2 linked regions of the Arabidopsis thaliana genome follow. The protein of the gene in region 2 interacts with the protein of the main gene of each other region in a pairwise test. Each region holds a gene or a part of one and is shown on either strand. Other genes may lie near its edges. The genes, in order: AT5G24000 and AT2G05755.

Region 1 (16,708 bases), on a different chromosome or scaffold from region 2:
TTTTAATACTTAATTATTAAGATTTTAATTATTTAATTATTTTTTTGCTCGAATTAATTAATAATAGTTGTTTCTTTTGCCATGTATGCACGTTGGTATTGGATTGACTTTCCCACATGGTTAGCCTTTTTATGACCAACCAGTAAATTATGGAATATTTGATGTTGAAACAAACTTTAAGAAAATTAGCTAGGTTTTTTAATAAAAAAATATTTAACTAGGGTTTCATGCGTTTGAATTGAGATTTAGAAACATTCTACAAAGAGAGAGGCCCAAAAAGGCATGATTCATGCGTTGTTAAATTGGCATTTCCTGTACTACATCTTTACTTATTCCTAGCTTCTTCTTTTTTCTTTGAGGACAAACTTATTCTTAGCTAATAATTTATCTTTACACTAAAAAAAGTACTAATTATGTTATAGTATACTTTATTTTTTTTGGGCAAAAGCTTTTCTATTATAGAAATTAAATAGAGAGCACATCGTTTTCGGCTAACATCGATTTTTTATAGCATTGTTTTTTATAGCAAAATTGTGTTATCCATATCTGTTTGATGGAATGAGCAGGTTGTCTAACTCAGATTAATGGCTTATTTCGGAACACAGATCCAAGTATTTTTTTGGAATCGAAAGTTGCATTTAAACATACACATTTTCAGCCACATCAATTTATGTTTTACAGGATAAGAAATCAAAGAAACAGTTTTCTTAATGTACCAACAGAATCTTCTTTATCTAATAGAGTTGACCTTCAAGATCGAAAAGGGTAAGTACAGTTGACATTTTCAATTCGATCGAACTCTCAAGTACAGTGGACTTATATTGAAAGAGCAGTACAGTAGTACAATCTAGCTTGATTAGTTATATTTCTAATTATATAAAAACACATACCGATTAGTATATAATATACATAGTAGTCGACAACTTTTTATATATTTAAATCTCAACCTACGGAAGTGGTTATTGTCTATTAATGAGATTTATGCATTAAAACAACTGTATCGTACGTGTGAATACACTTGGCTTTTGGAAACAAAAAAAATATAAACTAATGAGACAACAACATTTTACAATTACAAGGAGTGTGGCTTGAGAATCCTCCAACCATTGTTTAAAATAACTAATTAATTTGCAGCCATTGCCCGTTTAGATGAGGCTTAGTGGTGTTTAGGGATATTATCATGTGCTGAAAGATCCTGGCCTAGGACGGGCTAATTACCCGTAGTCCTCGAGCTAACCCGTCTTAAGCCAAGTGTAGCCAGCCAAACCATGATCCACAGTCGGCAGTCCTCGAGCTTAATTAGTCAGCGATGTGTTTTAACATTGGAAAAAGGATATTAGGATTCAAAACGTTAAGGGCCTAGCCCATTTGGCCAATGATACATTCCTAACTGGTTCTACTGGATAAATTTAAAGATAGAGATACATGTACTTAACCAACTGGCCTTTAGTCTAGTAGTAGCAAAATTCGTCAAAAGGATTGAGAAACTTTTCCATGTGGTTCAAGGAAAGCTTGGAAAGGATACAAGATGGTCCCGATCCAGGGAGGCTTCAGGCTTTGGCTCAAAACTCTTTCTGGTTACTAAAAATGTACGAGAAGAGATATATAACTACATTTGAATCAGAGAGATGGTTTCATCAGAGGACTCCAGCAATAGATCTGCACTTTGGTTCAAGCTCACTTACCTTGATACTGCTTTGCTCCATCAGGATCTTCGGTAAGCTCCATCAGCTATTTCTGGTTACTTCTTTTTATTTTAGTTTCAGTTTATTCTTCTTAAGATTTCTAACTAAATAGACATACTAAAATTTATTTCAAAGAAAAGCTTCATAGTAATAATAATCAATTTACCAACAAAAGAAGAAAAAAATAATTGAAAAGCAAACCATCTTATATCAACGGTTATTACGATGAATATAATAAAAAAAAGCAAACATATATAGTTAGAACATGGAATAGATCACCAGTTGAAACTAATTGCCTCAAAGTGAAGGTTCTTAGCCAAACCAGATGAACATATTTTTGCAACTTCATGTCTCATCTTTTTTGGTCCGCAAACCATCACCCCAACGTCTTCCGAACCCTCAGCCTCAAATAGAATCTCTGCAAAACGATAAGGCTTAAAGTATCAGCCTCATGCATGAATGCACATTCATTTATACCATTTTTGTTATGTAAGTGATGATATAATGTGGACTCTAGGTGGTAATAGATTACTTACTTTTCAGATTAGGTTTGGAGCCGAAGTGGACTGAAGTGGCTTGTACTATAGATTGATAGGGTACGCTCTCGAGCTCTCTCTCGTGGCCGTGAAACCATGAACCTGGAGAAGACGTGGGTGTCTGAAACTCTACGCTCTGTACCTGCTTCTTGGAGTCCTTATCTCCTTCTTTATTTTCTTTCTTGCGCCACAAGAAAATTATGCTTGACGAGATGAAAATGCACACACATCCTAGGAACATGACCCAAAGCACTCTATACGTGAAATTGTAGATCGATCCTGTGTTATGGTCAACAGGGTATATATAGTAACGTGTGACGATCCCTATGAGCAAGAGAAACATGACGAATGATGATAAGATCACAACTCCGAGCCAAAGGAAGTTGTTGGGTCCAAGAACAGGTGAGATAGGAGAGTCTAGAGGCTGCGGTTTGAACCATTTTGTCTGAAGAAGTTTGTGATCATCAGTTGTCTCGGGCTTCTTGTCTTCTCTTGTAATATAAGCCTCAATTCGGAGATTCAGCTTAGAAATGTCTGAGACTGATATATCTGAAGGGAAGATTAGGTCTAAAAATGCAAGATCGTGGTAATTTTTAAAGGCACAAACAAGGAGAACATTTGGTAGCTTTGTGCTCCGGTTTTGGCTCTGAAATATGAGTTCCCTGATCACGGAAATGAAGGGTGTAACTCCGCTACCACCGCCCACTAGTATTAGAGAATCGTGCCTATATATGATCAGGAAGAAAACAATTAGATATACTTAAGATAAAGTAGTTAAGTAAGGAACTTAAATAAGACTTTTGAAATTTTTACCTCGAGACATCAAAAGAGTTAGGGCCATAAGGACCTTCAGTAGAAACTTCGAGAGAATCAATGGAAGAAGAGAGATGTGTGTAAAGTTTTTGAGTCCAACTTCCCTGTTTTCTGATTACAACACTTAGTGTATCTTTCTCCAAGTTGCTGCTCGAAGTTATTGTGAATGGATGCCATTGAAGCTTGGAAATGCTCGGCACATGTAGAAACAATATGCTTGTTGGTGTATAATGTAAACCTTAAACATATACCAAAAGAAGTTTTCATTACATTTGCGTTTTGCGTTTGTATTTCTAGTTGAAAACGGAATATCTGTTGAAAGAAAAACCCTAAACTATTATAGTCAAGATAAATGGAAGAACTAGTTGTAAACCTGAAGTTTTGGCGAAAGTGAGTTCAAGGTTGTCTGAAGGTAAAATCTTAGCGGAAACAAGTCTGGATCTCTTGGTAGATTGTAAGAATCTCAAGTAGCGGTCTATGAAAAAGAGGAAGATGTTTGGCAAGATCATGCAGAACCATGAGTCTCCCACGTGGATTGCGTAGAAGACTATGTAGAGACCGTAGAGATGGTGAGTGTAGAAGAAAATTTCAAACTTCTTTCGTCTAAAGGATGGTAAACTCGTCACCCAAATCGCTATTCCAATCACCATCGCTATTGTTCCGGCCAGATTAGGCACATATGTTGCATTCCATGCAAACGTCTTCACATATATAAGAAATCGTAAAAACAAATATCAGTTGGAATAAAAGAAAGAATGAAAGTTTTGTTTTGTTTTGTTTTAAGGATAAGATTAAGGTAGATGCATGTAACACGGACCTCCATCAACTTATTGACCATGGCCCAGTAGATAAGGAAAACGACTGTGTGAACGAGGAAGCAAAAATTTGAGACATGTCCAAGCCAAATGTGATATTTTATGCTTGACTCCGACGTTAACCCGACAAGTGGCAGGATCGTAGAGGCTCTTGTCACCGGGAAGAACAAAAAGGCCCAGCAGTAGTGGCCTACGTAACCTATCCTCAGTCCAAAAGCCCTAAACTTTGCCTGCCATCTACACATGTCACGCAATATTAAATCAACTCCCATACCCTACGGATTTGGTACCTAGATACTCCAAATGGTAACTTGGGAGTGAAGCAATTCATCAAGGTATAAAAAATGGTAGTGCCAAAAAATGCACTAGAGGTTTTGGTGTGTTCCATATGTTATGTTTCACATAGTATAACCTTGTGAGCAATCATGATCAACGAGTGGAGAGACACATATCTTATATAGATAGATGTTATGTGGGATATTCCAACAAACCATTCGAGCATATAAAGTTAGAAGTGAAACAAATTAAGAAGCTTACATTTTGGCGTTGTCATGGTTATGAAGGTGGACGTGATAGCTAAGGTAGAGATAATTGGAGAGAGCCCAAACTAAAAGAGCCAGGAACAACAGAGAAAAAGTCAACTCTGTGGCTGTCACTATCCCCAATGGGTTCATAACCATCATCACCCTCCCCATTCTCCCTTTTACCTTCCATTCTCTGCACTTATACAAACAAAATTGTGATAATTTTGTAACAAATTTTACAAATATATATCGTCAATAAAAGTTGAATTATAACAAGTGGAACCTTTGAGTTTGGGAGGGTTGCTTTTGGGTATGCAAATAAACACAGCTCAGAACCGCAATGAACATCATTGGAACCGTGAGTAGCACAAGATTCATGCCTACACGTACATGATAAAGGAATACTCAAAGATGAAGGAATCAAAATTTTAATGCGAGAATAAATAGAGAAGTTAATACCTTGAGGACCAAAATAAGTAGTTTTGAGATACTTGGCGAGTTTGGGGGTCCATATGTTTTGGAAACGATTAGTTGAAATCATAATCCAAACGAAAATCCATCCAAGAAACAGAACCACCATTAACATCTTCACTAAGCTTCTCATATTCCCCATTTTGTCTTTTATGTTATTATCCACAATATACTTATGTAAGTGTGTGTTTTATGTGTGGAAAGCTTTTTGGATTTGTTATTTATAGCGGATTATCAGGGCAATAACGTAATTGTTTAATTAATATGTAACGTGTTATATTATACATGTCTAAGACGTGAGAATGCTTCCCCTGCTTTTATTTTATATCTTTTCTCCCAAAAATTATTTGCTGGCAGAGAACTTTCACAATGTAATGTATAATTACATATACATAACTCATATATCATACATGTATGGCCAACAATTTGTATAAGAAAACCATATGGGATACATGTTTAGCCAAACATGGATCAGTTTATGCAATTGAAAGCGTTCTTTTAATCAGATTTTGTATTCAGTTTCTATATATAGATTTAGTTCTTCATGAACTCTACAATATATTTGGGACAATTATATTTCGATCTGTGTTGGGATGCATTATTTGGATGCAATTGCACAATATATTGTTTGTTTAACCAATTCACACTAATATATCAACATAAAAAGATATTTTATACCAATTACATTTAGAATGGTCTTACTAATTCATTTCTGTGAAATCTTCATTTTACTTTTAATAAAAGAAAAATCACGAGTTTATAGACGTGAATTTGTACGAAACTCTTAAAAACGTACATGATAGTTTCTTAGATATGCCCCTTGGTCTAAAAGTGTCACACATATTTGCGAATAGAATACTTGTGAGTTGAGAGCAATGGTTTGATAATTATTATATATTTCTACTCTACAACAAATACTGCCAAATAGAAAAGCAAGAAATGTTATCAAATTCAAATGTATGTTACGTTTAAGTAAGAGTGAATCTCGTTGAAAAACGTTTATATGATTGTGTAAATATCTATATAGATATAAAATGGATAAAAACGAGAAGTACAAGATGGTTCCAACTTCCAATCAAATCAAAGTATCTTACTAACTATTTTAAATTTAATTAAATTATAAAATATTAGTTAGGGTTTCGTGCGTAGAGAGTTGAGATAATGAGATTTGAGAACATTCTATAAGGCATGATTCATGCATTTACAAATTGGTACTTGTTGTACTACATCTTTACTTATTCTTAGCTAATATATACTTTATCTCCGCATTAAAAAAATATCATATTACACTATCCATGTCTTTTATTGGCTAAATTGGGCTCTCCATATCAATATTATGGAAAGAGCAGGTGTGTCGAACACATACTAAAGACTTTGTTCGGACCTCAAATCTAAGTCATGCATGTGATAGGTACATTGCATATTTTGTTTTTGGAATCGAAAGTTGCAAGTAAACGCATAAATTTCCAACCATGCTAATCTAAGTTTCATAGGATAAATCAAACAAAGAAGGATGAATCTAGCACTACTTTTGGTTACAAAATATTTGGAATCAATAGAATCTTATTAATATGGTAGAGTTGACTTTTGAGATTGATATGGGAAAGTACAGTTGACTTTTAAATTACGATCTCAAGTACGGTTGACTTGTATTGAAAGAGCGGTACAATAGTACAATCAACCGTACCACTAGATGTATATTAGTATTAGTCAACTAAAAAAAAATCTACAGACAAATTTTATTTTATATTTGAACAAGTAAAGCTCGCAAACCAATGTAAAATGGTTATTGTTTATGAGATAAATGCTTGTTTTGTATGAAAACACTGATAATTTGGAAAACAAAAAGATTTAAAATTTGTTGAGAACAATTAGCAATTTACAAGAAGTCTAGCTTCAGAATCCTCCAATCATTAGAACTGTTTAGAAATCTATAATCGTTTGAGGACAAAAACTCCACATCCAATGCCTAGAAAAGTTGCTATGGAGACCCCAAAAACACCAGAGAGAATCCCGGGGACGACAAGAGAAGTCCATCCTTTTGCGGTTGCCATGGCACACGCAGTGGTTGGGCCTCCGATGTTAGCATTTGATGCAAGAAGTAATAGCTTCATGTCGATACAGAATAGTTTTCCTAGAACCAAAGTCACTGCTAGATGAACCATTACTTGAATAGCAGCAAATAAGAAGATACTTGGGGCAGTGTTGATTACATTCCATACACTCCCTGTGGCTCCTAGAATTGTGAAAAATACCTGAACAAAAAAGATTCAAAAACAAACCATGGTCTGAAGTCCTCGGGCTTAATCAGGGATGGGCTTTAACAATGAGAATAAGGGCTCAAAACGGGTCAGACATAGCCCATTTTGCCAATGACATGTCTAATTGGTTCTAAATAATGGATAAAGTGTAAAGAAAGAGATACCTGCATGAGAATGAGAGAGATGGTTTCAGCAGAAGGTGCCAGAGAGTTGAAGAAATCAGGGAAGGATGTTGCCAAGACAATGGTGATGGCTGTTACTGCAGGAAGCATAACTCCTTGTATCTTAAATAGCGTCGTCAACGTAATTGCAGCTTTGCATATCAGGAAGGAAACTGATAGTGCAATTGAAGTTGAAACCACTCTGTTCTTGTCCTCGAGCTTGTCATCCTTAGTCATGTCAGCATCTGCCAAAGATCACAAAAACTTGAATAGTAGTGTTTATATGTGGATGCAAATGCAGTTAGAAGATGAGAAACGTTATGTAATAATGTCAAAACTCAAAAGTATTGAAAACTTATTATCAAGTCTTAATTTGATAGGCACATTATATGTATTAATAATAACTATCTTTACCAACATTCACTCAAATCAATTTGACAACTAACCAAGTAGCCCTAGAGTCACCAAATCCTTAGTTGGTCCGACTATTCGCCATAAGTTCTTTAGTAATCCTCTCACATTGCAACATACTTACATACCTTATATATACAAAATGTGATCAAGATGGAAGTTTACCAGGGGAAGATGCTGAGGCGGTCTCAGGGGGTATCTTTGAGGCCAACGCAAACAAAACCATGAAGTGAAGAGCACATATGACATTATCCACAGCTACACCCGCTGCTATAACAGATGGAGATATCTGTAGAGCCTCCGATATCGCAACAAAATTAAGGGCTGCAGAACAAAAAACAAGAACCAACAATTTTATTCTCATTCCTCTTGAAGAATCCATTCCCAAGTTGTGATAAACATCTTACAAGCCAATTTAGCAAGATTTTCCTCTTTTTTCGATAAACGAAAATCAAGCAAAGCTAGAATCTTTTCGGCTAAAGAAGATAAACATTGAGTACCTCTGTCTGTAAACAAGCCAAAGAAGCAATGAAGGGGCTCCAGACAAACTTACATCCACCAATGTAACTCCCCATAAGAGCAGCTGCTATTTTCCAGTTATCCGGACCAAGCGATCTCATCGGTACCAACATAAAAGCCACCACTGTTCCAACAATCGTCGCAACTACAACAAACCAACTCACAAATTAATAAACCACTCAACACATCATCAATAACAATGTCACTTCACAATCAATCTTTTTAACTAAAACCACTCAAAGACATAAACTTTTGTTAGTCTTAAGCATGAATCCAAACTAATCCCAATCCAAAAACTTGCCTTTAAGCAAAAGACTAAATCTTTACCAGATCCAATTAAGAATGCAAGAAGCAATGATCCAGTAGATCGGATAATACGACGGAGATCAGCTCTAAACAACAACAATGGAATCGTATGCGGCAAGAGAAACTCCATGAAGAAGCCATACGACGGCGTTTCAAACGGAATTAACCTTAAATTGCTAGCGGCGAGCCCAAGTAACGTACTTGTCAACGCACCACTCACCATACTTCCAATTTTCGTCTTCTCCGACCTAATGAAGTCGGTAATTTCATCAGTATACAAAACCCTAGTTTCAACAGAGAGGATTGAGGTGATTTACCAGACACCGAAAGCTCCGGCGGCGAAGAGAGCAGCCCATTGTGACCAGTGATCGTCTGGGGAGATTAGAGGGAATCGTAGTTGTGAGTAGACCTTCACGCGCCGGCGTCGAGATGAAACAAGACGATGTGGAGTGAGTGTTACCGGCGGCGATTTGTTACGGCGTATGGTTATTGATGATGATAAGTGGTGGCGGGAAGGAGACACGTGGAGCGATGAGATTGTGGGGGACAGTGGATTTGGTGATACCACTGTGAATAGAAGAGCCATTGCACTTTTTAGATACACCAATTAATGTTTGAAGTCCCATATTATACTTTTGGAAACTTATTTTTTTTGTTTCCTTATTCGGCTAAACAAATTTATTGAGATATCAAATTGACGAGAAGCATATTAATATACCACATAATGAATATGATAAAAGTTTAAAATAAAATTTAACAATATTTTTTTTCTAAAACTTTACTCTATTTTCTATTTTTGTAATCTATTTCTTGATACGAAAAAAATAACAAATAAGAAATAAATAAAATCGATAAAGAAAGTAACATAACATAGGAAGACGAAATATATAAGAAGAAAATATAATGAATAGTATGAAAAAAGAAAAATAGTAAAAAAAAATTATGATTAGCTTCGTTTGGTGGAATTCTCTTCTTTTTAGTGTTTTCATGTATTTTATTGTCTTCTTGTTTATCAAGAAAAAGAAGTTAATCTAGACTTTGATAAAATGATGGATCATGGATGCCCATAAAAAGAGTACTTCTAATTTTTTTTCTATAACTTTTTTAAAAAGGATGCATTCACTATAACAAGGTTTGTTGTATGAATAAAATTTTACATACACTCAGAAAAAAGAAGAAAAAAAGAAGAAGAAGAGTACTTCTAATTTGGTGACAGATGCTTCCTTATATTTCCTTCTAATTATTAAATTAGTATCGTTTAGGTCTATTGGAATTAATGAGTGAAATATTAAACCTTGCCTACAATACACTAATTAATTTATTTTTTGTAATAATGTGTCGGTCCAAACCTTGTTAGTTACGCAATTAATACCATAATAATCACACCACCTACGATGAGTTAATCCGTAACACCACAAATTATATCTCAAAACTGTTTCTATCTAATTCAAAAATGAATCAAACATCCCTACTCATAGCGTACACAAATGATTAACTAAGAATTACCAAATCAGTGAAAATCAACTATATTTAATAGAAAGCAAAACTTTTTGAAAATGATTGCCACCGAATCACAAACAAAATCAGGTTTAAGCTTCCTTTGGTTTCCCATTGCTGTTGACAAACTTCGCTGCCTAATGATTTCACAAACACTTTCTCTTTCACTTACCTTTAGTGGGAAAAAAATACGAATACAGAGAAGTGACAGCAAAAACCCACTTTCTAGTTTCTCCATCTCTTCTTCTCTTTAATATCATCAAACCAAAACCTTTCTCAAACCTTCCCCAAAAAAGCTTCACTCTAATGGCGTTTCCAATAAATCTAACCCAAACCCTTCTCTTCTTCTTCTGCCCTCTTCTTCATCTCTCTTTCGCTGCTTTCACTCCAACTGATAATTATCTCATCAATTCCGGTTCTAACACCAATACATCTTTCTTCACAACCCGTTCTTTTCTCAGCGACTCTTCAGAACCTGGCTCGAGTTTTCTCTCCACCGATCGATCCATCTCGATTTCTGACACGAACCCATCTCCAGATTCACCCGTTTTGTACAACACAGCTCGTGTTTTCCCCGTCGGAGGATCATACAAATTCCAAGTCACTACCAAAGGCACTCACTTTATCCGTCTCCATTTCGCGCCTTTTAAAGCTTCGAGATTTAACTTAAGGTCTGCTAAATTTCGAGTTTTGATTAATGGGTTCTCTGTGATTAACAGTTTCAGTACTAGCTCCGTCGTTGTTAAAGAATTCATACTCAAAATCGATGACCCTGTTTTAGAGATTTCGTTTTTGCCCTTTAAAGCTTCTGGATTTGGGTTTGTTAATGCGGTTGAAGTGTTTTCAGCACCTAAGGATTATATAATGGATCAAGGAACGAAGCTTGTGATTCCTAACTCTGCTCAAATCTTTAGTAACTTGTCATCTCAAGTTCTTGAGACTGTTCATAGAATCAACGTTGGTGGTTCGAAATTGACGCCGTTTAATGATACGTTGTGGAGGACTTGGGTTGTTGATGACAACTATCTTCTCTTGAGAGCTGCTGCTAGACGTGCTTGGACTACTCATTCTCCGAATTATCAAAACGGTGGTGCCACGAGAGAGATTGCTCCGGATAATGTTTATATGACTGCTCAGGAGATGGATCGAGATAATCAGGAGTTGCAGGCAAGGTTTAACATTAGTTGGGGGTTTCAGGTTGATGAGAAACGAGTTCTTCATTTGGTTCGTTTGCATTTCTGCGATATCGTTAGTTCGTCGCTTAATCAGCTCTATTTCAATGTCTTTATCAATGAGTATCTTGCGTTTAAGGATGTTGATCTCTCCACGCTTACTTTCCATGTGCTTGCGTCTCCGTTGTACATTGATTTTGTTGCGGAGTCTGATCGTTCTGGAATGTTGAGGATTAGTGTTGGACCGTCTGATCTTAGTAATCCGGCGAGAGTTAATGCTCTATTGAATGGAGTTGAGATCATGAGGATTTTGAGCCCTGTGAGTTCTGAAGTGGTATCTGGAAAGAGGAATGTTGTCTGGATCGTGGTTGGCTCGGTTTTGGGAGGTTTTGTGTTCTTGTCGCTGTTCTTCTTGAGCGTTTTGTGCTTGTGCAGGCGCAAGAACAACAAGACGAGGAGTTCAGAGAGCACGGGATGGACACCTTTGAGGAGGTTTAGAGGCAGTTCCAATAGTAGAACAACTGAAAGAACTGTTAGTTCTAGTGGCTACCATACTCTGAGAATCTCGTTCGCGGAGTTACAATCCGGAACCAATAACTTTGATAGAAGTTTAGTTATCGGAGTTGGCGGATTCGGGATGGTTTTTAGAGGGTCTCTTAAAGACAACACCAAAGTAGCTGTGAAGAGAGGCTCTCCTGGTTCAAGACAGGGCTTACCAGAGTTTCTCTCTGAGATAACCATTCTCTCTAAGATCCGTCATCGCCATCTAGTTTCACTTGTTGGGTATTGCGAAGAACAGTCTGAGATGATTCTTGTTTATGAGTACATGGATAAAGGACCACTCAAAAGTCACTTATACGGATCCACCAACCCGCCTTTATCTTGGAAACAACGGCTTGAGGTCTGCATTGGTGCAGCCAGAGGACTTCATTACCTTCACACCGGTTCTTCGCAAGGAATCATCCACCGGGATATCAAATCCACCAATATCTTACTAGATAACAACTATGTAGCCAAAGTTGCAGACTTTGGACTCTCAAGATCCGGTCCTTGTATTGATGAGACACATGTGAGCACCGGTGTAAAAGGAAGCTTTGGATATCTTGATCCTGAATACTTCAGAAGACAACAGCTCACGGATAAGTCCGATGTTTATTCATTTGGTGTTGTTCTTTTTGAAGTTCTTTGCGCTAGACCCGCTGTTGATCCGTTGCTTGTTAGGGAGCAAGTAAATTTAGCAGAATGGGCAATAGAGTGGCAAAGGAAAGGGATGCTTGATCAGATCGTTGATCCGAATATCGCAGATGAAATCAAACCGTGCTCGTTGAAGAAATTCGCTGAAACCGCAGAGAAATGCTGTGCGGATTACGGTGTAGATAGACCGACAATTGGCGATGTTCTATGGAACTTAGAACATGTGCTTCAGCTTCAAGAATCCGGACCATTGAACATTCCTGAAGAAGATTATGGAGATGTTACCGACCCGAGAACGGCTCGGCAAGGTCTGTCTAATGGCTCGAACATAGAGAGAGACTATGGAGATGGAACTTCAGGCATAATCAGTAGCACCCAAGTGTTCTCTCAGCTAATGACCAACGCTGGGAGATAAATTAAAGTCATTGCTATATAGAGCAAGTATTTATCATAGTCATAGAGTACAATACCTAAACCGGGAAACCAAAGCGGTGTACCGGTATCTCAGATTCGGTTCGTGTTTGGTATAATTTTGTTTGGTTTCTGTAACTTGTAGAGCTATGATTGTTCATTTGATATGGATGAATCATAAACCGTTAAAACCAGTACATTATTTGGTTAAATATTAAACCGGTTAAGAGTGGAGAAATTAAAAACCGGAATCTCAAAAGTTCTTGATAAACCGTAAACCCTGTGAAGCCACAACGCTCAGAAACATTTCTGTCTCTGTGGAGACAGCTGAAGAAGCAGCAGCACTATCAATGGCGTCTCTGAGATTGTTCTCAACGAATCATCAATCTCTTCTCCTTCCATCATCTCTCTCACAAAAGACTCTAATATCTTCACCAAGATTCGTCAATAACCCTAGCAGACGGAGTCCAATACGATCCGTTCTTCAATTTAATCGCAAACCGGAACTCGCCGGAGAAACGCCGCGTATCGTCGTTATCACCTCCGGAAAAGGCGGTGTTGGAAAGACGACAACCACCGCAAATGTCGGTCTCTCTCTCGCTCGTTACGGTTTCTCAGTTGTCGCCATTGACGCCGACCTTGGTCTCCGTAACCTCGATCTCCTCCTAGGGTTAGAGAATCGAGTCAATTACACTTGCGTCGAGGTTATAAACGGAGATTGTCGTCTCGATCAAGCTCTGGTACGTGATAAGCGTTGGTCGAATTTCGAATTGCTATGTATATCTAAACCTAGATCGAAACTTCCGATGGGATTTGGTGGTAAAGCATTGGAATGGCTTGTGGATGCGTTGAAAACTAGACCGGAAGGTTCACCGGATTTCATCATCATCGATTGTCCTGCAGGAATCGATGCCGGATTCATAACCGCCATTACTCCGGCGAATGAAGCAGTTCTGGTAACAACTCCGGATATAACAGCGTTAAGGGATGCTGATAGGGTTACGGGTTTGTTAGAATGCGATGGAATCAGAGATATAAAGATGATTGTGAACAGAGTGAGAACTGATATGATTAAAGGAGAGGATATGATGTCAGTGTTAGATGTGCAGGAGATGTTGGGATTGTCATTGCTTGGTGTAATTCCTGAAGATTCTGAGGTTATTCGAAGCACGAATCGAGGGTTTCCGCTTGTTCTGAATAAGCCTCCTACGCTTGCGGGATTGGCGTTTGAGCAGGCGGCTTGGAGACTCGTTGAGCAAGATAGTATGAAGGCTGTTATGGTGGAGGAAGAACCTAAGAAACGTGGCTTCTTCTCTTTCTTTGGCGGCTAAATGGCAAACGGATCGAACCGAACCGAACGGTACTGAACTGAACTGAAACTTCTTCCTCGGGTATGTATGCATTGAAATCTTTTGTACAGGAGCTAGAGATTTTTGAAGATTTTGTCTCTTTTGCTTTGAGAATTTAGATTTGTTCCTAGGACAATGTGGAATTCTACTGCTAGTTTGTTGCTGAGTTCAAGCTCTGATTCTTATGCCTTTTGTTCTTGAGGTTCTTGATTTCTGTTTCTGTAATCTGTTTATGTTAAAATTGAGAGTTTCCAATATATCTCAAGTTCTTATGTCAAATCGTTATGATGAGAACTTCAATAGCTTAGCTGATCTTATCAGAACTTTTCGCGAGTATGAATTCGGTAGCTACTGGTTTGGTGATGATTTTGCTGGCCCTTTTGTACTATGTAGGCTTGAGTACTAGTGCTGTCTAGCTTGGTATTATGCCATTTGATTCTCTACCTTCTTGATTTATCGATATGGCGGTGTCGATTAAGTTCCCGAAATAGAAATGATTATGTGATACTGAAGCTCTTAGAGGGCTTAGCTGATAGTAGAACCAACATGATCGCGTATCATAATTCTGATGCTATTTATACAGTGATAACCCCTCAAAACTTTTTATTTATTGGAACAAAACAAGTATACATGCTCTTTGAAGTATTATGATAACTGCTAACAGTTCTGGTTTAAGAGATACTGGGTCGTTTGGATTGGTTCACCATTGTAGACAACCCCTCCCGTTTACTTAATACTGCTTTAAACACATGATCATTAGAACCACAGCAACAATTACGTTACTAGGTTCCTCACTTGTGTCAGAGACACTGACAACAAACCAAAACCAAAACTTCGGATACGACTCTGTATTAGGGGTTATGAAAACTTTTTTCGTGATTCTCCAATTTATGATGAATCACTCTCTTGAGTTTTGCCGTTGCAAGCTTCTACATCATTACTCTGACTGCTGTCGGAGTCTGTGAATTTCAAGTAGTTCTCGATGTTCTCTGAGCTTACGTTTCTCAGTTGGTCAAGCCACCGGTGTTGGCTATTCTGTTTGGGTCTCGGACGGTTGCTGATGGCTATGGCGAGGTCATTGGGAAAAAGATCTCGGAGGACAAAGGCGTGGATAATGGTGGTCACGAGCAGTGCGAACACGACTAACGTTGCAATGGCACATAGGACCACACACATGATTTGAGTCATAGTGCTCTTAACCACTGTTGCGTACCTGATGGTAGCAATTGCAGCTCCGGTCATCGGAAAGGTGTACGCCCACCAGGACAGCGAAAATCTATGAGAAAAAAAAGTGTGAGAAAGTTGAGCTAGCGAATAACTAAAAATCAAACAGTAATAAAAGTAATTTTCTTAATCTTACTTGATTCCCCTGAAGAAATTGATCCGAACAGCCTATAAATCAAAGAAAGGGAAAATTTGTATTAGTAAATACTTTTCTGAAGAAGGAATATATATACAGCTAAGTTATATGTAAAACGTACCAATGAGAAATAGAGGAAAATGGCGATAAAGTAACAAACTTTGGAGCCATAATCGAAGGAGCCAGTGACCTTAGCCCAAGCCATGGAAGCAACACTTGGAGCCGCAACGAAGAGGAAGAAGACAGGATGAAGATCTTTAGGCAAAGTCTCGTTGGTCGGTAGCCTTTGGTAGAGAGTCACGAACAGAACCAAGTAATGAGCCATCCCAACAGCATAGAAGAATATAGGGCCTTCTCTAAGCCCCATGGACGCACCAAGCAAGGCCCCAACAAAGTTCCCAACGACCGAGAGATGGTTGGTCGGGTTGGCGACCCGGGAGAGCCGTCGTTGACCACCGGACATCCACTGACCGTAGATCTTAAGCTCAAGACAGATGAATGGAAACATGAGGAGGTACCAAAGGAAATGCGGCAAATCTGTAATTATGGAAGGTGGGACACCGAGGGCAAGGAAGAGTAAAGAAATGAAAGGAGCAAAGAAGAAGTTGATTCTGATTGGATGGTAGTATTCGCGGCGTACGGCTTCGAAGAAAAGGATGATCTTGAGGAGGTAGATGGTGGCGATAGTGAGGATCAAAGCCACTGAAATGAACCATAGACCCTGGTTGATCCAGAGGGGTACGTGGAGGAACTTGGTTGGCTCTGCAGTGGCTAGGGTTTTCCACATTATGGCTTGGCTGCTCACTCCTAGGCACATACCGAAGGTGGAAATGGGGTAACGGAGAAGAAACGGCCACTTTTTATCATTTGGTAGAACGATCTCTTCTTGAGGCTGCGACGTAGGAAAAACAAAAGAGAGTTATAATTGAAACATGTCACTCGTTAATAAAAGAGAGTTATAAAACGTGTCACTTCTGACTTCTAGTAATGATATATTTTCGCAAAAAGGTCATTAAAACAATTTACCACATGAATGCAATTCAAATGTAAAAGATACAAAAAAAACGTAGGTACGTACCCGTAGGGTCTCTAATTCAGGACCTTCTAAGGCGTCATAGTAACGGTCCACAGGCATGGCTTCATTGGTATTCAAATTTTGGTTATTCCGGTTTGGTGCCTCCGGTTCAACAGAAGCTGGTTTTCTTGTGAATTGTCTCTCAAGT
Region 2 (17,123 bases):
TTCAAATGTTTTTGTAAAAATTAAAAAAAAAGCCAATAAAAGAAATAAAAAATAAGATATTAAATTTATAAACGAAAAATCTAAAAATATGAAAGAATTCTGAATATAATTATGTTACAAAATTCATAAAATGAAAATATAAATAATTTAAATTTATTTTAAAATTTTATTAGTTTAGAAAATAAGATATTTATTACAAAAAAATTCTATTACAACTTAAAAAAAAAAAGTCGAAGTGATAAGCTTTTAAGGCCGTCTTAGGGGTGTCAAAATGGGTAACCCAACTCAACTCAACGAGTTTAAATCTTCTCAATTTCATTGCTTATATATTTAAGAAATTCGGAAAAATATTGATTGTATTAAATTGGTTTAGATGTGTTGGTTAAACTTAAATCGGCATTGGTTTAGAGATTTTAGTTGGTTTAATTTATTTTTACAAAACTTGATGGGTTAATTGGGTAAACCATTACAACCCAACTCATTTTATTCATCAAACCAATTGACTCAATAACTCATTTGACCCATCAACTCATTTGAGTTAATATTTTCAACTCATTAGGGTTCATGAGTTGAGTTGAGTTGAGTTGACCCATGAATTTTGATCCATTTTGACACCCCTAGGCCCGTCTACATGAGATTTAAAACGACCAGTCATGGTTAGCAACCACACTGAATATTTTTAATATTTTAAAATTTTATTATTTTATGTACAAAGATATTTATAAAACGGAAAAAATAATATATGAAAAAGAGAAATGTAAAATTTTGGAAAATAATATATAGAATATATTAAACTTATATTCTTATTTTTATTTTGTTAATTTTCTTCTTTTTCAAAAAAAAAGAAATATTAATAGGAAAATATTTTCAATTAACACTAGATTTTTTCAATATATATAATCACCAGATGCATCTCATTCGATCATAATTTATAAATTGTACACTTGAGTCATCTGTCACGATTGGGGCTGATTACTACTCTTAATAATGCCGCTTTATATATATTTTTATCGCATATGCCACTACGGATACTTTTCTCGCTGTCAGACTGTTTTTGCTTTATATCTTTGACGAGTTGTAAAACATGTGTTGGTATAAGATGTTATTAACATAAAAGTTTTGAGTCTCAAGAAGAAGGATTGATGACAAGCGTTATTGGTCGATGTTTGTGCTTCTTCATATCGGTTATGAAACATAAGACCTTGATTTGATGTTGTTTGAGTTAAAATTTTGGGTTTAAACAAGAAGGATCAACAACAAGCAGACATGTTTTATTATCTACACATATGACCATGTTCAATTTATTTCCTACGCAAATAATTTGTAATTTTGTAACATTAAGGATTTTGGTTTGAAAAGTTTCAATACAAATTACTTGGGACAAGTTGTGTGGTATGCTAAAAAAAATTATTTCGAATGGTTATTCAGTGTTTCTGACAGATGGAACATCAATCGCTTATGCCCAGAAAGTGTTACAAGCTAATAAATCTAGGGAGTTAGTGTTGGTGGGAGTGGAGGAACATACATTGCAAAGAAGTTCTTTTTGGAAAGATGTTTAGGCCAATATAGCGATAATTGTTTACGTGAACTACAAATAAATGCAAGTATGGTTAATGACCTAGGTAATTTATTGCGTGGTTTAAAAAAAAAACTTAGATTGTATATATAAATTTACGAGACGTAATAAAGATAATAAATTTAATTGATGAGAGTTTTCTTGCATTATGAACAATTGACGTTATAGTCTAGGTAATAAAGGTAATTGAAGGAGAAAGAGAGAAAGGTAGATGGATTGCGACAAGCAAGAGAGAAATACAGAAAGAAAGTCATTATCGCGAAGAAGAAGAAACTACAAGAAAGCAAGGCGTATTCTGACGACATTTCCGACAGTTCTCCGACAAATTTTTGAGTGGAAACTAGTTCTTCGGAAATACTTCCGTCGCAAATGTCTTCGGAAATTTAAACATTTTCCGAGGGATTTCGGAGAAATATACTTCCGTCACAAATGTACTCGGAAATTTGTAACTTTTCTGTGGGGTTTCCGAGGATATATTAACCGTTGTACTATTTTGAGAGATTTTCGAGGACATTTTGACCGTTGTTTTTTTCCGAGGAATTTCCAATCGGTGAATATAGCCGTTCGAACGTAGTCGTTGATGTATTCGTTCGAATAGCCGTTGTAAATTCAAAACCCTCGGAAATCCCGAGGAAATCTCTCGGAAATTTGCCTATATATTCCAACCAATTTACATCTTTGGAAAACAAGAAAAAAACTAGAAACAATACCAACAGAAATGTCTTCTCCAGATCCTTATAATTATTTTAGTTCATGGATGGATAAACCTAGATACAATCGAGAGACGGGCAAACTTACAGAAGATTTCAAAGAAGGTCTTACGGAATTCATGTCATTCGCATCAATCCAGAACATAATGCGAGAAACAAATACTATGTTATGTCCTTGTCCAAATTGTCTGAATAATAAGAATCTCGAGGTAATTGTAGTAAAGAGGCACTTGTTTAAGAATGGATTTATGCCGGGTTATAGATATGGTATTCGCATGGAGAGAGTGAATCAATGCAAGATTATGGTAGTAGTAGTCAACAATATATTTCGGGTACTGTAAAGGAACCATCAACGAAAGTAGACGTAAGCACATTTCAGATGGTGAACGATGCATTTAGGGAAATGCACCATCTTTTGTTCAGGATGGAAATAGAGAAGAGTAACCGAATATAGAAGCTCGGAGATTCTTTGATATGTTAGATGCAGCTAATATGTCTTTGTATGATGCAGCTTATATGTCTTAGCTGAAACTAGGTTGATGGAGATAAAGACGGAACTAAATTTGGCTGACGGTTGTGTGGATGCGATTACTGATTTTATGAAAGAAATTTTGCTGGAACATAATCTTTCACCAGCTTCATACTATGAGGTGCAGAAACTTATAGCTGGACTTGGATTGCCATATCAGGTGATAGACGTGTGCAGTGATAATTGTTTGATTTATTGGAGAGAAGACGAAGGCCGCACTTCATGTCGTTTTTATCGTAAACCTCGGTATCAGGACACTAGTGGAAGAGTTCCCATACCATATAAACGGATGTGGTATTTGCCTTTAGCAGAGAGGTTGAAGAGGTTGTATCAATCAGAGCGTACAACAGGATCAATGAGATGGCATGCTGAATATACATCAGACAGTGTAATAGCGCGCCCATCAAATGTAGAAGCATGGAAACATTTTCAATCAGTGTATCCTAACTTTGCGTATGAGCCAATGAACGTTTATTTGGGTTTGTCTACAGATGGTTTTAATCCTTTTGGAAAGCATGGAAGGGAGTATTCATTGTGGCTAGTTATTGTGACACCTTATAATTTTCCGCCATCTTTGTGTATGAAACGAGAGTTTCTTTTCCTAACCATTCTTGTTCCTGGTCCAGATCATCCCAAGAAAGCACTTGATGTGTTTCTATAGCCATTGATTTATGAGTTACAAATGTTATGGGAACATGGTGTAGACGCGTTCGATGTTTCAGCCCACCAAAATTTCAACATGCAAGCGGTGATAATGCAGACTAAAAGTGATTTTCCAGCCTATGGTATGTTGTCTGGGTGCACAACGCACGGACGGTTATTGTGTCCGCATTCTCAAGATAACACCGACGCATTTCAGCTGAAACAGGGACGGAAGACGTGTTGGTTTGATTGTCACAGAAGATGGCTCCCAGAAGACCATCCTTATCGTTAGACCACTACATTATTTAGAATAAACAAGTCTTTGATGGTCCACCTCCTGAGTATTCTGGCGAGGACATGATGACCAGTTAAGAGATTTTGGTGCTGAGAAAACATCGGTTTGTGGTGGTGTCGGGCACGATACTGTTGATGGATATGGTGATCTTCATAATTGGCACAAGAAGAGTATTTTCTTGTTATTGCCATATTGGAAGGACCTTTTGTTGAGGCATTTTCTAGATGTCATGCATACCAAAAAGAACTTTTTTGATAACATCATGCAGAGCCTACTTAATGTTCAAGGAAAGACAAAAGATAACTTGAAGTCTAGACTAGACTTGCCTGATATATGTTCTCAAAGAAAGCTTCATGTCATGCCAAATAGGAAAGCACCAACCCCTCAATTTCGATTAGATGAAGCTTCCAAGGAAGCTTTCTTAGAGTGGATTATGATGGATGTCAAATTTCCGGATGGCTATGCATCTAATCTCCGCAACTACGTTAAAATGGGAGAGGTGAAGTTTCAATGAATGAAAAGCCATGATTGTCATATCATTATGCAACGCCTCCTTCATTTGATTTTGAGCATCTTCTACCAAATAACGTACACAAAGCAATTGCAGGTATATTATTACACAATTTTCTTTTATGCTTAACTATATATTTATTTATATCTAAACATTTTATCTTTCTCTACGCAGCTATTATTGTGTTCTTTCGATATTTATGCACAAGAACACTTACTCCATAAGGGATACAAAGGTTGGAACAAAATATACCGGTGATCTTATGTAATCTTGAGAAGATTTTTCCATCGTCTTTCTTTGATGTGATGGAACATATTCCAATTCATCTCCCACAAGAATTAGCACTTGGCGGTCCCGTTCAATATCGATGGATGTATCCGTTCGAGCGTTACATGAGTACTCTTAAGAAGAAAGTGAAAAATTTGGCAAGAGTCGAAGATTCTATTGTTGCACAATGCATCAACGAAGAAACCTCACACTTCTCCGAATATTATTTTCCAAAACACGTCCAAACAAAGATGCGGAAACATGCTCGACATGATGACGGTGGAGAGAGATCTTTTTACCCGGTTCTAGACCCAAAATTATTTGCCAAAGTTGGTCGATTAAGTGGGAAATCGAAGAAGCGAAGGCTAACAGTGGAGGAGCATCAACACTTGCACATGTACATTATCACTAATTGTGAAGAGCTTAAAGATTATGAAAGGTACAAATTTTTAGCTTTAACATTGAAATTGTGAATTATTAAAATTCTAAATTTAATATGTAACATATAATAATTAAAATTGCTAATATTTATCATGATTACTAATTTTCAGGATGTACTTGGGTTAAATACGCTTTGAATATCCACATGACGTTCAAAAACTCAAGGAGACTGAGTTTTGCAACTGGTTGAAATTCTACGTAAGCTTTTTCTTATTTATTTTTACTAAATAATAAATTTGCGAAGATAACTTTTACAAATTATAAAATACGTTCTACATGTTACATCTATGTCTTCTAGAGATCAATCAATTCCTACATGGTTAATGGAGTTTGTTAATGGGCCATTATATGTTGTGGAAGCGTATCCCATATATTGTACTCGTGGTTATGCTTTTAAGATTCTTCAACCCAAAAAGACTAGGCCGGCTTGTGATTATGGTGTATCAGCACAATCTAGTGATCTTGTATACTATGATATCCTCTACAAAATCTTAGAAGTTCGTTATCCAGGAATGATCAATTTGAGGTGCATTGTTTTCTCATGTGATTGGTATGATCCAATTATTTGACATGGTGTAAAACATGACGAATTCAGTGTTACAACAATACACATGAGAAAGAGGCTCGAGGGATATGATCCATTCATCCTCTCATCACAAGCCGATCAAGTATGCTCAATTATGATATATTTTTAATAAGAAAATTAAGTAATTTTCGTCAATAAATTAAAAATATTAACCAAATAATTTTATTATTCTAGGATACAATAATCTCTCGAAAAACCCTCGGAGATAATAAGTCCTAGGATATCCGTCGGAAAATATGTCATCAAAATTTTCTCAACAGTCGTCGGAGACAATGGCCCTCACAAATCCGTCGGAAATATTACTCCCTTAGAAATCCCTCGGAAATATTGTTCCTTTGGGAATCTCTCGGAAATAGTGGTCCTCACAAATCCGTCAAAAATATTAATCCCTTGGAAATCCCTCGGATATTTGCGAGGACTTTTCGACGGATCATAATTTCCAACCACGTCATACCGACGACAAAAATCCCTCGGAAATCTGTCTGAAACGCTTGTTTCCGACGGTTTACTAACGAATCGGTCCCTAGGAAATAAACTGTTTTCTTGTAGAGGTCAGATTGTGACACTCTAAGACAAGCTCAGATTATCAGACATGGAAAAGAAAAGTGAGAAAACAATTACGACATGACCTCTTTAAAGCAACTATAATTCATATATGTAGGGATTCCTGGTATTAATGTCTTTAGGTTGAATGGTGAAATATAGAATTAAACGTTTTTGTGTGTGCGTTATAATCGTCTTCAACCTGATCGAGAAGATTTCTTTTTAAGTTTCATATCTGACCAGTCCCGTGGAGACATCAAACGAACATCCAAACATACTAGGAATAATCTGAAATTTGGTAGGAGACATGACATTAAGTTTTGGTAGAAAGGTATCAAATTTCCAGTTTGAAAATTTAAATGAACGACTATTTCATGTATGTAATTCATAGGCTGATTGAGGTATGTTTGGTTAAGATTAGTAAGTTTAAATTTTTTGCTCTGTTTTCAACCATATAATAATGAACATTTTACATAGAAAAAGATGGATAGGATGAGGAAGAAAATGAGGAAGATGAAAGGGAAGAAGAAGAAGAAGAGTGTAGCGAAGAAGCGGACAGTGAAAATAACAATGACAACGGCTATTAAAAATTAAAAAAGAAGATGACAAAAAGAAATATGAAGAGAATACAAAAATAAGTGATGGCAGCAATTTGAATATAAGAAAACAATATTGATTCGTGATTCTTTTAATCAGATTTAATTCTTAAGCACTATAATTTTTATAATTTTAGAATTTCGTATTTGAAAAAAAAAATCTTTAATAGAAATTAAAAAAATAAAGACCAACCTATGATAGTTACATAAGATAATATTTAATAACAATTATCACTCAAATATAATTTCATCAAAATATATCAAATAAACTCAAAACCTAGTTAATGTTAATAATCCAGCCTAAATGAAGAGTCATTGCAATTTGTAAACCGATAAAAACTCTCTCTCACGCTTCCAACTGCGATTATCAAAAACCTTTATCGAGTTATATTCTCTGGCGTCGGTGGAGCTTTTGTTCACCGGCGTCGGAACTTCTCCACTGTCACTGTTCAATTTGCTCATTACCTCTCTAGTCTTTCAGTTTTTTCTGCTCTTTTGCTTAATTTTTCCCCCTTTTGGAAACCATCTTTAGCCCTTTCAACCCTTAAGCTTACGGTGAAATCCTCAATCAATAATAAAGGAAGAAGGTGGTGTCCGGCGTTTCCCATCTCTCATCCTCAACATGCACCACCCTTGCGGAAGCTTTCCCTGATTGAACCACAAATTTATCGAACTAAGAGCTTGATTTCCCGAAAATATTTCCCTCACCACGGCGAGCTTCTTCTCAGGGATTCGAGTTCAATTACCAGAACGGCCATGTTCCTTTGGTTCTCCTCTTTCGCCTCACTTCTCAGCCAAGATATCCAAACCATGACCCTATCATCACCGGAGATTCTCGCTCCACCGCGAAGTCCCTCCTCATCTCCGTACAACAGCGGCGGCACCCAAGACCTTCGTTTACCAAGCAATGGTGAATCTAGGTTTACAACTGGTGGACCTTTTAAAGTCTGGCCCATTAAAATGTCGAAAGCCCAAGTTTATTAAAGGTGATCCAAACCTTCATACACAAAAGCCCAGGTCTGACCTAAATTATTCTTTGTTTTTTCTTAGTAAAATACTGAATCACTTATCGGCACCACTTGATAATGGACGTCAAATGGACCGTTATGTACCAGTTTTTATATGGGTGCTTAAGAATTCTTTGCGAACTCTGCCTTTAGTTTCACCTAAGGTCTTCGATCATGAAATCAATTGTTTGAGTGTGATAGGTATCTTGTTCTCAATTCTAATAATTCGAGGTTGTGACTGTTGTCACCAAAGCGTCACAAATTACTTATCTCTGACACATTTTGCTACCAACTTTAAGCAATCTCTCATCAATAGCAACATTAAGACTCATAGCTATCGGTACTACACAGAAGCTTCCATTCTTTATGAGGAAAATCCTGAATATTCATCGCTTGCTCTTGAAAATAAAAGATTGATGAGAACCGGCATTATGATCTCGTCTCCACGGAGCGATGATTACCGACGCTTCTCCAATCTTTTTGCCTCCTTTCCTCGGTTTACTGAAATCAAGCAAGTTCGATCCAACAACTTTAATATTGGTATTCATGAGGTTACAAGGTTGAGGAAGAACGGCATCATGATCCCGTCTCAATGGAGCGGTGATTACCGAAGCTTTCTCAGCTTGTTATCTCCAAACCTAACCGACCATAGAACCATAGTCAACCAACTCCTTGCCGTTGAGCAACTCAAGCTCACCCTTCTCATGCCGGCGAGAACCTCGGTTATGAAACCATCTTCAACGTCACCTCGTCTCTTGACCTTGACCAATTTGTCTCCCATTGACTTACTCGTGGAAGATCATTCGACTAGCCATGACCTCACATGTCTCAAAACGCTTAATAGCCTTTGTCTCAAAGTTTTCATGAATTCACCGTCGTCTCACCTTATCTATCATAATTTGGCATTGAGGAATGCCTTCTTTGTTTGTATTTTAAACTTTATGATTTTTGTGTTATCCTTTTTTGTACTTGGTTTGGTTTGATTTAAATGAATGAAAATAAGTTGTTTTAAAAAAAAAAAAAAAAAAAAATGAAAAGTCATTGAAGTTAACGTCGCATTTAACGGCAAACGTTAAAACAATCTATTTTGAAACGTCGTCGTCTTTTGACTCTTCGTTATCTTTCCGTTTCGTCTGTTAGATTCTGTTTTCGTAGCCATGGCTTCTTCGTCTCCGGAGACCAGAATCGCCGACGAACACCTCTCCCTTGAGCTTACCGTTCGCGATCTAGAATCTACGGCGTTAGAAAGCGCCTCCTCCGCCCCTGAATTATCTTCCGACGAAATTATCCCTCTCCTGAATCAAAACCAAAGACCTAGAATCAACATCTTCTCCGCCTCCTACACTCGACGCAAACCAAGTGTAAGAACAGCTCCTCTCGTTGCAATGGTTGTAATTCATGAACAATTCAGCTGAATTTCGATAATTCGATTCGAAATTGATTCAATGGAATTGCGAGTGGATTCAGTTTCTGCTAATTATGTTGCTAGATTTGTAGAATTAGGTGATTGACAGGAACTGTGATCAGATTTAAGTAAGAATGATTTTGAATTGTGATGTGTGTAGGAGCAAGTGATTAAAGTGACTGAAACTGAGATATCACCTGTAACTCAGTTTTCTTCATGGATTTGGAGTGGTTCTCGTTACTCTGGCTTACTGTGTATGGCATTGTCATCTACATTGTATCTGATCATGGAGTTAGTTTCAGATACTTTTTCTGGTCAGTACTTCTTTAGCTCTCCAATGGTGTATCCTGTGATTTCGTCCTTGTGTTCAGTTTCATGGTTTTGTGTAAAGAGTTAGCTTTATGGGAAGGCTAGAAAATGTTGAAATTATCTTTGCTTTGTTCATATGGTGGGAGAATCTATGTTTGATTCTGAAACAGTGGACTTATCTAAGAACTTGTCTTTTCTAGTTGTAATGGAATCTCTCCTTAGATGAGTGCAAGTGCTAACCTTAGTGTTGCCTTGAGCTGACAGGTGTATTAGTATATTGATAGACTTTTTTTTTTCTAATTTCCTTTGTTTGTGACAGTTCAGCCAATTCCTTTGTTTGAGACCGCGTTCATGAGATGCACAATTATCTTGATACTGTCATACCTTTGGTTGAAAAGAATTGGGCAACCGATATTTGGACCTGCTCATGCAAGGAAGCTTTTGGTTTCAAGAGCCCTCGTGGGTTATCTTTCATTGTTTAGTTTCATCTTTAGGTAATTACATCTCACACTCTGCTCCCTGTGTACGGATAACCTACTCTCAGTAGCTTCTCGGGAAGATGGTTTGTTAAATTTATATACTGGTGACCGGTATATCATTTGAACTGAAATTGCTATTAGAAACAATGTCCATTCCCCACCAATCAATGTGTCATTCGTTGCAAAGTAAGACTTCTAACACTGTTTTTCACTGTTAATTGACATTGTGAACCACAGCATTCAAATGTTGCCGTTGTCCCAAGCTATTGTACTAAGCTTCTTGAATCCAATTATGGCTTCCATTGCAGCACGTGTTGTTATGCATGAGAAGTTGAAAATAACTGATATTGGAGGTTCAGAGCTTTTCTCATCATCCTTAACTATATATGATTTTGTATGCATACAAAGCAAGTCTATATATGACTTCTCTTTTACTGCGCTTTGGTCCAGGTCTTGCTTGCAGTTTCTTTGGCGTGCTTTTTATTTTTGGCCCAACACTTACTGTCCAAGGTACAGAAGTGAGTTAACAAAATAGTTCTCTATTTATTCTCTTAATAAAACTTCTCCTGGCTGTCCTTTATGCATGAGGAAACGAATATGTCATGTTGATTTTACTTATCTCTTCTTGGCAGTTGGATTAGAAGGAAAGAATGAAAACCTTAAAGGAAACCATCATATTTATGCGTTCTTGTTGGGTTTATTTTCATCAATCACTGGAGGAATCACCTATTGTCTCATAAAGGCAGCCGCTAAAGCATCGGAACAGCCAGTGTGAGATTTAAGATTCAGATGTGTCATCAACCCACATGTTTTACTTCTTTAGCGAAAATTCTATTGTTAGGAAGGATAAACAAATGATGTGCATTTTCACAGGATTACTGTCCTCTCTTTTGGCTTGGTAGCTTGCCCCGCTACAGCAATTTGCATGTTTTCCTTCGAGGTATGTTTTGTAAATATATATTGTGTATGTTCAAAGGGAATATGATATGGATGTAGGAAACCAAGAAATGCATTATCTGCACCAAATGTATAACGCAGTCACTGATCTATTGTTTGATCATTACTCATACTCATGATCCATAACTTTGAATTTTCTCATACAGAGCTTCGTGCTGCCAGCATTTGACACGCTCGTTAGCATGATTGTGCTAGGGTTGCTAGCGTTTTGCGCAGAGGTGAGGCATTCGGTAACATTCTGCTTCTACACATTTGTGTAGGTAACTCGCATAGCTCGACTGCTGAGAATATTTTTCCTTTGTCTTAAGGTACTTTTGGCACGTGGTCTTCAGCTTGAGAAAATCAGCAAAGCTGCTAACGTATTGTACATCGAGGTAGACTTCCACTTCCATAGAAGACAGTTTTTTTATCGGTTTATTTCTCTTTTTACTCTTAAGCTATGCAATAAAAACACTCTTTTTTGTTTAGTAAGTTCATTTCTCTCTTTGATTTTTTTGGTTTGGGTTTGGTTAAGATTAAAGATGGTTTGAACAGGATTAGAGCATAGTGATAAATCAGAAAGACCTAGTTTTTAATTAGTGTCTTTCTCGTATTAGGTGGTTTTATCGCAGTTATGGTTAGTCAGCACGGGAAAAACAGGATCGCCAGGTTTGTTTAGCCGGCTTGTTGGGTGTTTGCTCATTCTCCTATCGGTAGGCTACACAGTTTACATCGGACCTGCCAAAGATACTGAGTCATCAATACCATAGAAGTGTTCCATTCTTTTCTCATTTTTTTACTATGCTTCTTGTTTGAGGCAATGCAAACGCCACACTCCCCATTTCACATTTCTGAGTATAAAATTTCATTGATTTTCGTTTGCCAAACCAATGTATGACAGCACTTTGTTTGTTGTGTTGATTAGTTTTGGTCATAATGTAGTATAGTTTATGTTGCTAACTAACTATATTAGCTGCATAAACCATATTAAGTTGTTACTCAAAACACTTTCACTCCAAGAGAATCGAATTTGTTGTATTTTTGTATTACAAGATAGATACTCAAACCCTCTTTCCAACTTTACATGTGGCTCAGATTCTATGTTTCTTGTACCAAAAAAAAAAATGAACTAAACACACTTCTTTACTTCTTAGTGGTTTTCAATAAAATATGAAAATTGGAAGCATATATTCCCTCTAAAAGAAAACATTTGTTGGAATCTTTTTCAATGCAAAAACAGTCGGTGGCCGCTAAAAGGACCGACGGGTTTGAACAAAAAAAGATTTTATGCTTCCCTAATACTATATTCAAGTTTTTGATTATATATCTACACTAATAATTGAAGAGTAAACTGTTATATAAAATACTACATCCTGATCCGCACGTACGTGCGGAATTTCATATTTTTAATTCAATGTAGATTATTTTTTTATTTTGTGATATATATTATAGTACAATGTATTAGATATCTGAACTCTCATATACGTACAAAATATAAATTTTTTGGAATGTATTATATTTCTTGGAATAGAAAACCTGTGATGTATCTATCATAAATTCTTCGTCCCATACCCCGTCTATATATGTGAAATAAAAATACTACCAACCTGTAACCATCACAAAATACGTACATGCAGGGTTATGTGTGTAAACAAATTTATTTTATATAGTGCTCATAAAAATACTACATTTTTAATATTCTACTTTTCATGTCGTTTGTGTCTTATAATTCATATTTTCATTTCGTTCCATTAAAAGTACGTTCTAAAATTCTTATTTGCTTACCTTTAAATACCAATGTATATATGACTGAGTTTTGCGGATTAACATATAGGATGTTAAAGTTTACAAATATATCATTAAAACACACAAATATCTTTTTTTTAATTATTTTTTTCCTTCTTCAAATTCAAAATATGAATAGCATTATAACAAATAATTTTGTAAAAAACTATATTTTAACAAATGTAATAATTTTTCCTTAGCTACATTTTTAATATTCTTCTTTCTCTTGTTTAATCATAATTAATTGGATTTTTGGAATATAATTAAAATTTTGAAATACAGCTATAAAACAATTTATTTTTGCTGGATAATTTGTTTTGAATGAAAAATGTATAATTAGTTTACATTATTTCAAAAGTTTGTTCAATAATATATTATGGATTTATTTAAAAAAATAAAAAAATAAAATCTAAAATATTTCGAAATTAGTATGTACAATTTATTGTTTAGATATTTCTAAATGTAAGGCATAATGATAATTATTTTAAATTAATATTTTGTTTAATTCATAGTAAATATAAATCTTTGTAACATCTAATCTCGTTTTTAGAAATTTTGAAATAAAGTTTTGTTTTATATTTCAAAATATTTAACCCAAAATTCTAAAATTGAATTTATTTATCTATCACAAATTATGATTTTTTATTCATGGTATCAAGCAAGTGTTATGATTTAAAAAAAATTAAATAAAAATGAACTTCCAAAATGTTAGTTTAATAATATAATATAATTTGATATCAAATCTTAGTTTTTCAATTTTTATTGGTTAACAAATTTTAATTTTTCGTCCATAATTAATAGGAAAGAGAAAGTGAGTTTAATTTTGGGAAACTAATAATTGCTTAAAAGAATATTACCATTTTTTATATTTAAATCTATTAATTTTGTGATTACTATTGTATCCTTGATGAATTAATTTAAAAACACTAACAATCAATGGCATTCTATGTAATATTTTATCCTTCATAAGGTTGTTTATTTTCAATGATTCTCAATTAATAGTATAGATTATTAATTTTAGTATTTTATATTAATTTATTAATGATATAATAGTAATTACAAAATTAATATATTTAAATAAAAATCAAAAAATACTTTTAAATAATTATTAGTTTCTAAAAGAATTAAACTCATTTTATCTCTCTTATTATTTATGGACGAAATTTTTAAATTAATTCTTAAAAAATTGTTAACCAATGAAAATTGAAAAGGTAAGATTTGATATCCAGTAACTATAAGATTTAATTAACATTTTGGAAACTAATTTTTACTATAAAAAAAAGCATAAAACTTGCTTGATACCATTAGTAAAAATCATAATTTGCCATTGATAAAGAAATTCAATTTTTAGAATTTTGGGTTGATAACAAATTGGTGTGGAGGTCTGATTATCAGTTAGTTCAAAATGAAAATAAAAATAATTATCATTTTAATTCAAAATTAAAAACACGATTGTTTAAATTTTTTATTCAATGGAGGATTTTATGATTGAATTTAAATTTGTAAAAACTTAATACAAATATTTTTAAGATTCAATTTTGTTATGATATTTTCACAAATTTTAAAATATAAAACAAAACTTATTTCACAATTTCTAAAAACCGAGATATATATTAACCAAGATTTATATTTACTATTTATTAAGATCAAACGATAAAAAAAAATAAAGTAATTATCATTATGATCTTCATTTACAGCGAGTTTCTAAAATATTTAAACAATAAATTATACATATTAATTTCAAAGTATTTGGTATTTTATTGTGGTATGATTACTGAAAGTTTAAAATAGTTTTATGTTAATAATTTTTTAGATCTATTCATGAGGAAATTGGCTACTCATATAGGTAAAGATCATGCATTTATATGGATGTGCATCGCCGCGTACATATTTAAACTGCATCGTTTGGAAGAGTTATGGATGATTGTAAATAGTACGACCGATTTGAGATCAACCTCGACATAATATGAATCAATCACGGAAGATAGCTAAAAGGACATTATATATAATCATAGATTGGAAACGTAGATTGAAACTAAATTGAAAACTAAACAAATTACCTAACTGATATGAGTTCGGGTTTATAAATTATAAGCATTATATAAATTAAATTTGTTTACACATAACCTACACGTATGTATTTTATTACACATATTCTATTTACGATGGATACGGAATGTTAATATTTTTATTTTCTGTATACGGCATTGGCGGAGCCAGAAAAATTATTTATGGGGGTCAAATTATTTAATACAAAAAGTACATAAATTTTTAAGAAAAAATAAATTTCTATATATAATGTTTTTTTTTACTCATAGAATTAATCATGTAAGTATTTTATTTTATTTCGTTTGTCATAGTGTTAAGTACTTTTTATTAAAAAACTAGAAAATTATATAAAATTCTATCAACGATATGTATTACGTGACGTCATTTTAAAGTATGTAATGCAAAAAAAAAAAAATCAAAAATAATTTTCAAATAAATAAATTAAAAGATGAGACATATTTTTCTTTGTGATATACGAGCAATATATTTTACGTCAAATTAAAAAGTATATAAATTCTTACTTAAGAATTTTACTTTCAACCATGTTTTTCAATGGATAGTTGTAATTGAAATAGAGCAATGAGTTTAATTATAAGGATACTTTTGATATATAATAAATATTTTGTGGTTTTCTCTTAAACTAAAATTTGATGGAAGTCAAATTTTATTTTGTAAAGGAGTCAATTTATGATAACTAATCAAAACTAACGTAAGTTTAAAAATCCATGGGTGTCAATTGACCCCCATGTTATAGCTCTACCTCCGTCACTGGTATACGGGACGGGTTATGGAACGGAGACTTTATGATAGATATAAGATTGTTGGATTTTCTGTTCTAAAATAATTACACGTAGCTTATGCATTAAAAAAACTCAAACTAAAATTAAATTAATATCTTATTTAATATCCGTAATCAAACTCTTAAAAAATTATTAATTTAAATTTTTTAATAAAAATATAAAATTACGCATGCGGCTAAGGATATAGTATTTATAAATAAGGCTGATGAAAGTTCAAAGAGAAACTGATTATGAAATTGTCTGCTCTAAATTGCTTCGTCGTATGGTCGAAGTTGTGACTTGTGAGTCTATTTCACCTTAAGCATTATTCTTCACTTTTTTGTTACTTACAATCACGTGAAAGTTTAATATATGATAATACTTATTTTTTTATGTTTCACATGCTTTTCGTTTGTTAATGATGTTTATTGTTATAAAATGTATTACACGAGGGAAAATGGACTATTATTTCACAAACTATTGCCAACTTGATAATATTCACATAGAGTAGATAACTCTTCGACAACAAAAAAGAAAGAAAGAAGGGAAATTGCACTCTGTATACATAGAAAATTACAAAATTAATAGAAAATTACAAAATTAAGTGTTAGAAAAAACTACTGTTGAACCTTCTCTCTATCAAGAAAATATTCTTATACCCCTATACCTTATTTGTTTTTGATGTTAAATATTTTGTTACCTTTTAATAATAATGTTATTATCTTCCGATAATTATATAATCTTTGAAATCAATCGTTGGTTCAATAGCCGGTAATTTGTTTATATCGTCAATTGTTTTATTAACATGTTATGTAGGTTTGTACCTTAAGTTTTTTCATCCATATATCAAAATCCTATCCATATTTCGCTAAAAATATTATCCCGATAATACGTTATCTGCTAACTATTCTAATGCTTGTATTTTTTCTACATGATTATTCAGTCGCAAGTCAACTTTTTTGGCCTTCATGCTAAATATTTTGTTATCTTTTAATATTAATGTTATCATCTTCGCATATATATGTGTCTTTGAAATCTAAACATTGGTTCAATAACTGAAAATTTGTTTATATCCTCAAATATATTATTAACATATTAAGTAGGTTTGTACACCATGTCATTTCATCTATGCATCAAACTCTATCCATATTTCGCTAACAATATTATCTCGATAATGCGTTATCTGCTAACTATCCAGAGTTTTATCATATCTCTTTATAGGGGTATATTTGTCATATAGATTTTAGTTGAAAAGAGATACCTAAATAAATGATCTTCATGTATAGATTCTTAATTATTTGATGGTTCCTGTATAGATTTTTAAATCACCCAAAAGGAAAATTGCCCTACGACTACAATAAAAAAGCTGGTACCTACATGAACTAATAAAATCAAGCAAAATTGTATTGACCTAAACGCCGTAATTAAGTCAATACTAATATGTGTTGACTAAATGCCAATTAGATCAATAATCGAAAGACGTTGGTCCCAAAGCGTCTATTCAACAAACCAAACTTTTTTTCTTTTGTGTACAATTCAACAAACCAAACAACATCGTTTTGGTCATGTTTTTACCGTTTGGCTCAACATAATTTTTAAAAATATATAACCAGGATATCTATGATTCCAAAAAACTCATGAAGACTTTTTGAATTTACCTCATTTGAATTCTTTTCTT

The links.
Region 1: the proteins of AT2G05755 (region 2) and AT5G24000 interact in a protein complementation assay, tested with the Arabidopsis thaliana proteins (one large-scale study listed by BioGRID).

What each region holds. Positions count from the first base shown.
Region 1 is NC_003076.8:8,103,605-8,120,312, forward strand, and holds AT5G24000 (keratin-associated protein (DUF819)), read right to left. Parts: upstream 9,172-16,708; 5' UTR 9,089-9,171; coding exon 8,820-9,088; intron 8,751-8,819; coding exon 8,524-8,750; intron 8,342-8,523; coding exon 8,231-8,341; intron 8,002-8,230; coding exon 7,843-8,001; intron 7,512-7,842; coding exon 7,270-7,511; intron 7,100-7,269; coding exon 6,776-7,099; 3' UTR 6,581-6,775; downstream 1-6,580. Other genes in the region: FRO5 (ferric reduction oxidase 5), read right to left, coding at 1,961-2,103, 2,222-2,946, 3,035-3,272, 3,408-3,735, 3,852-4,086, 4,387-4,566, 4,657-4,753, 4,833-4,986; AT5G24010 (Protein kinase superfamily protein), read left to right, coding at 10,306-12,780; MIND (septum site-determining protein (MIND)), read left to right, coding at 13,127-14,107; SLAH3 (SLAC1 homologue 3), read right to left, coding at 15,014-15,401, 15,486-15,517, 15,607-16,377, 16,564-16,708.
Region 2 is NC_003071.7:2,162,045-2,179,167, forward strand, and holds AT2G05755 (Nodulin MtN21 /EamA-like transporter family protein), read left to right. Parts: upstream 1-8,715; 5' UTR 8,716-8,860; coding exon 8,861-9,064; intron 9,065-9,268; coding exon 9,269-9,422; exon of another isoform or gene 9,423-9,423; coding exon of another isoform or gene 9,424-9,468; intron 9,469-9,585; coding exon of another isoform or gene 9,586-9,674; intron 9,675-9,736; coding exon 9,737-9,911; intron 9,912-10,133; coding exon 10,134-10,249; intron 10,250-10,346; coding exon 10,347-10,406; intron 10,407-10,528; coding exon 10,529-10,667; intron 10,668-10,769; coding exon 10,770-10,836; intron 10,837-10,999; coding exon 11,000-11,071; intron 11,072-11,161; coding exon 11,162-11,227; intron 11,228-11,449; coding exon 11,450-11,602; 3' UTR 11,603-11,899; downstream 11,900-17,123. Other genes in the region: AT2G05752 (uncharacterized protein), read right to left, coding at 7,261-7,344, 7,443-7,643, 7,997-8,065, 8,165-8,320, 8,401-8,484; AT2G05753 (uncharacterized protein), read right to left, coding at 9,424-9,468, 9,586-9,674, 9,802-9,892.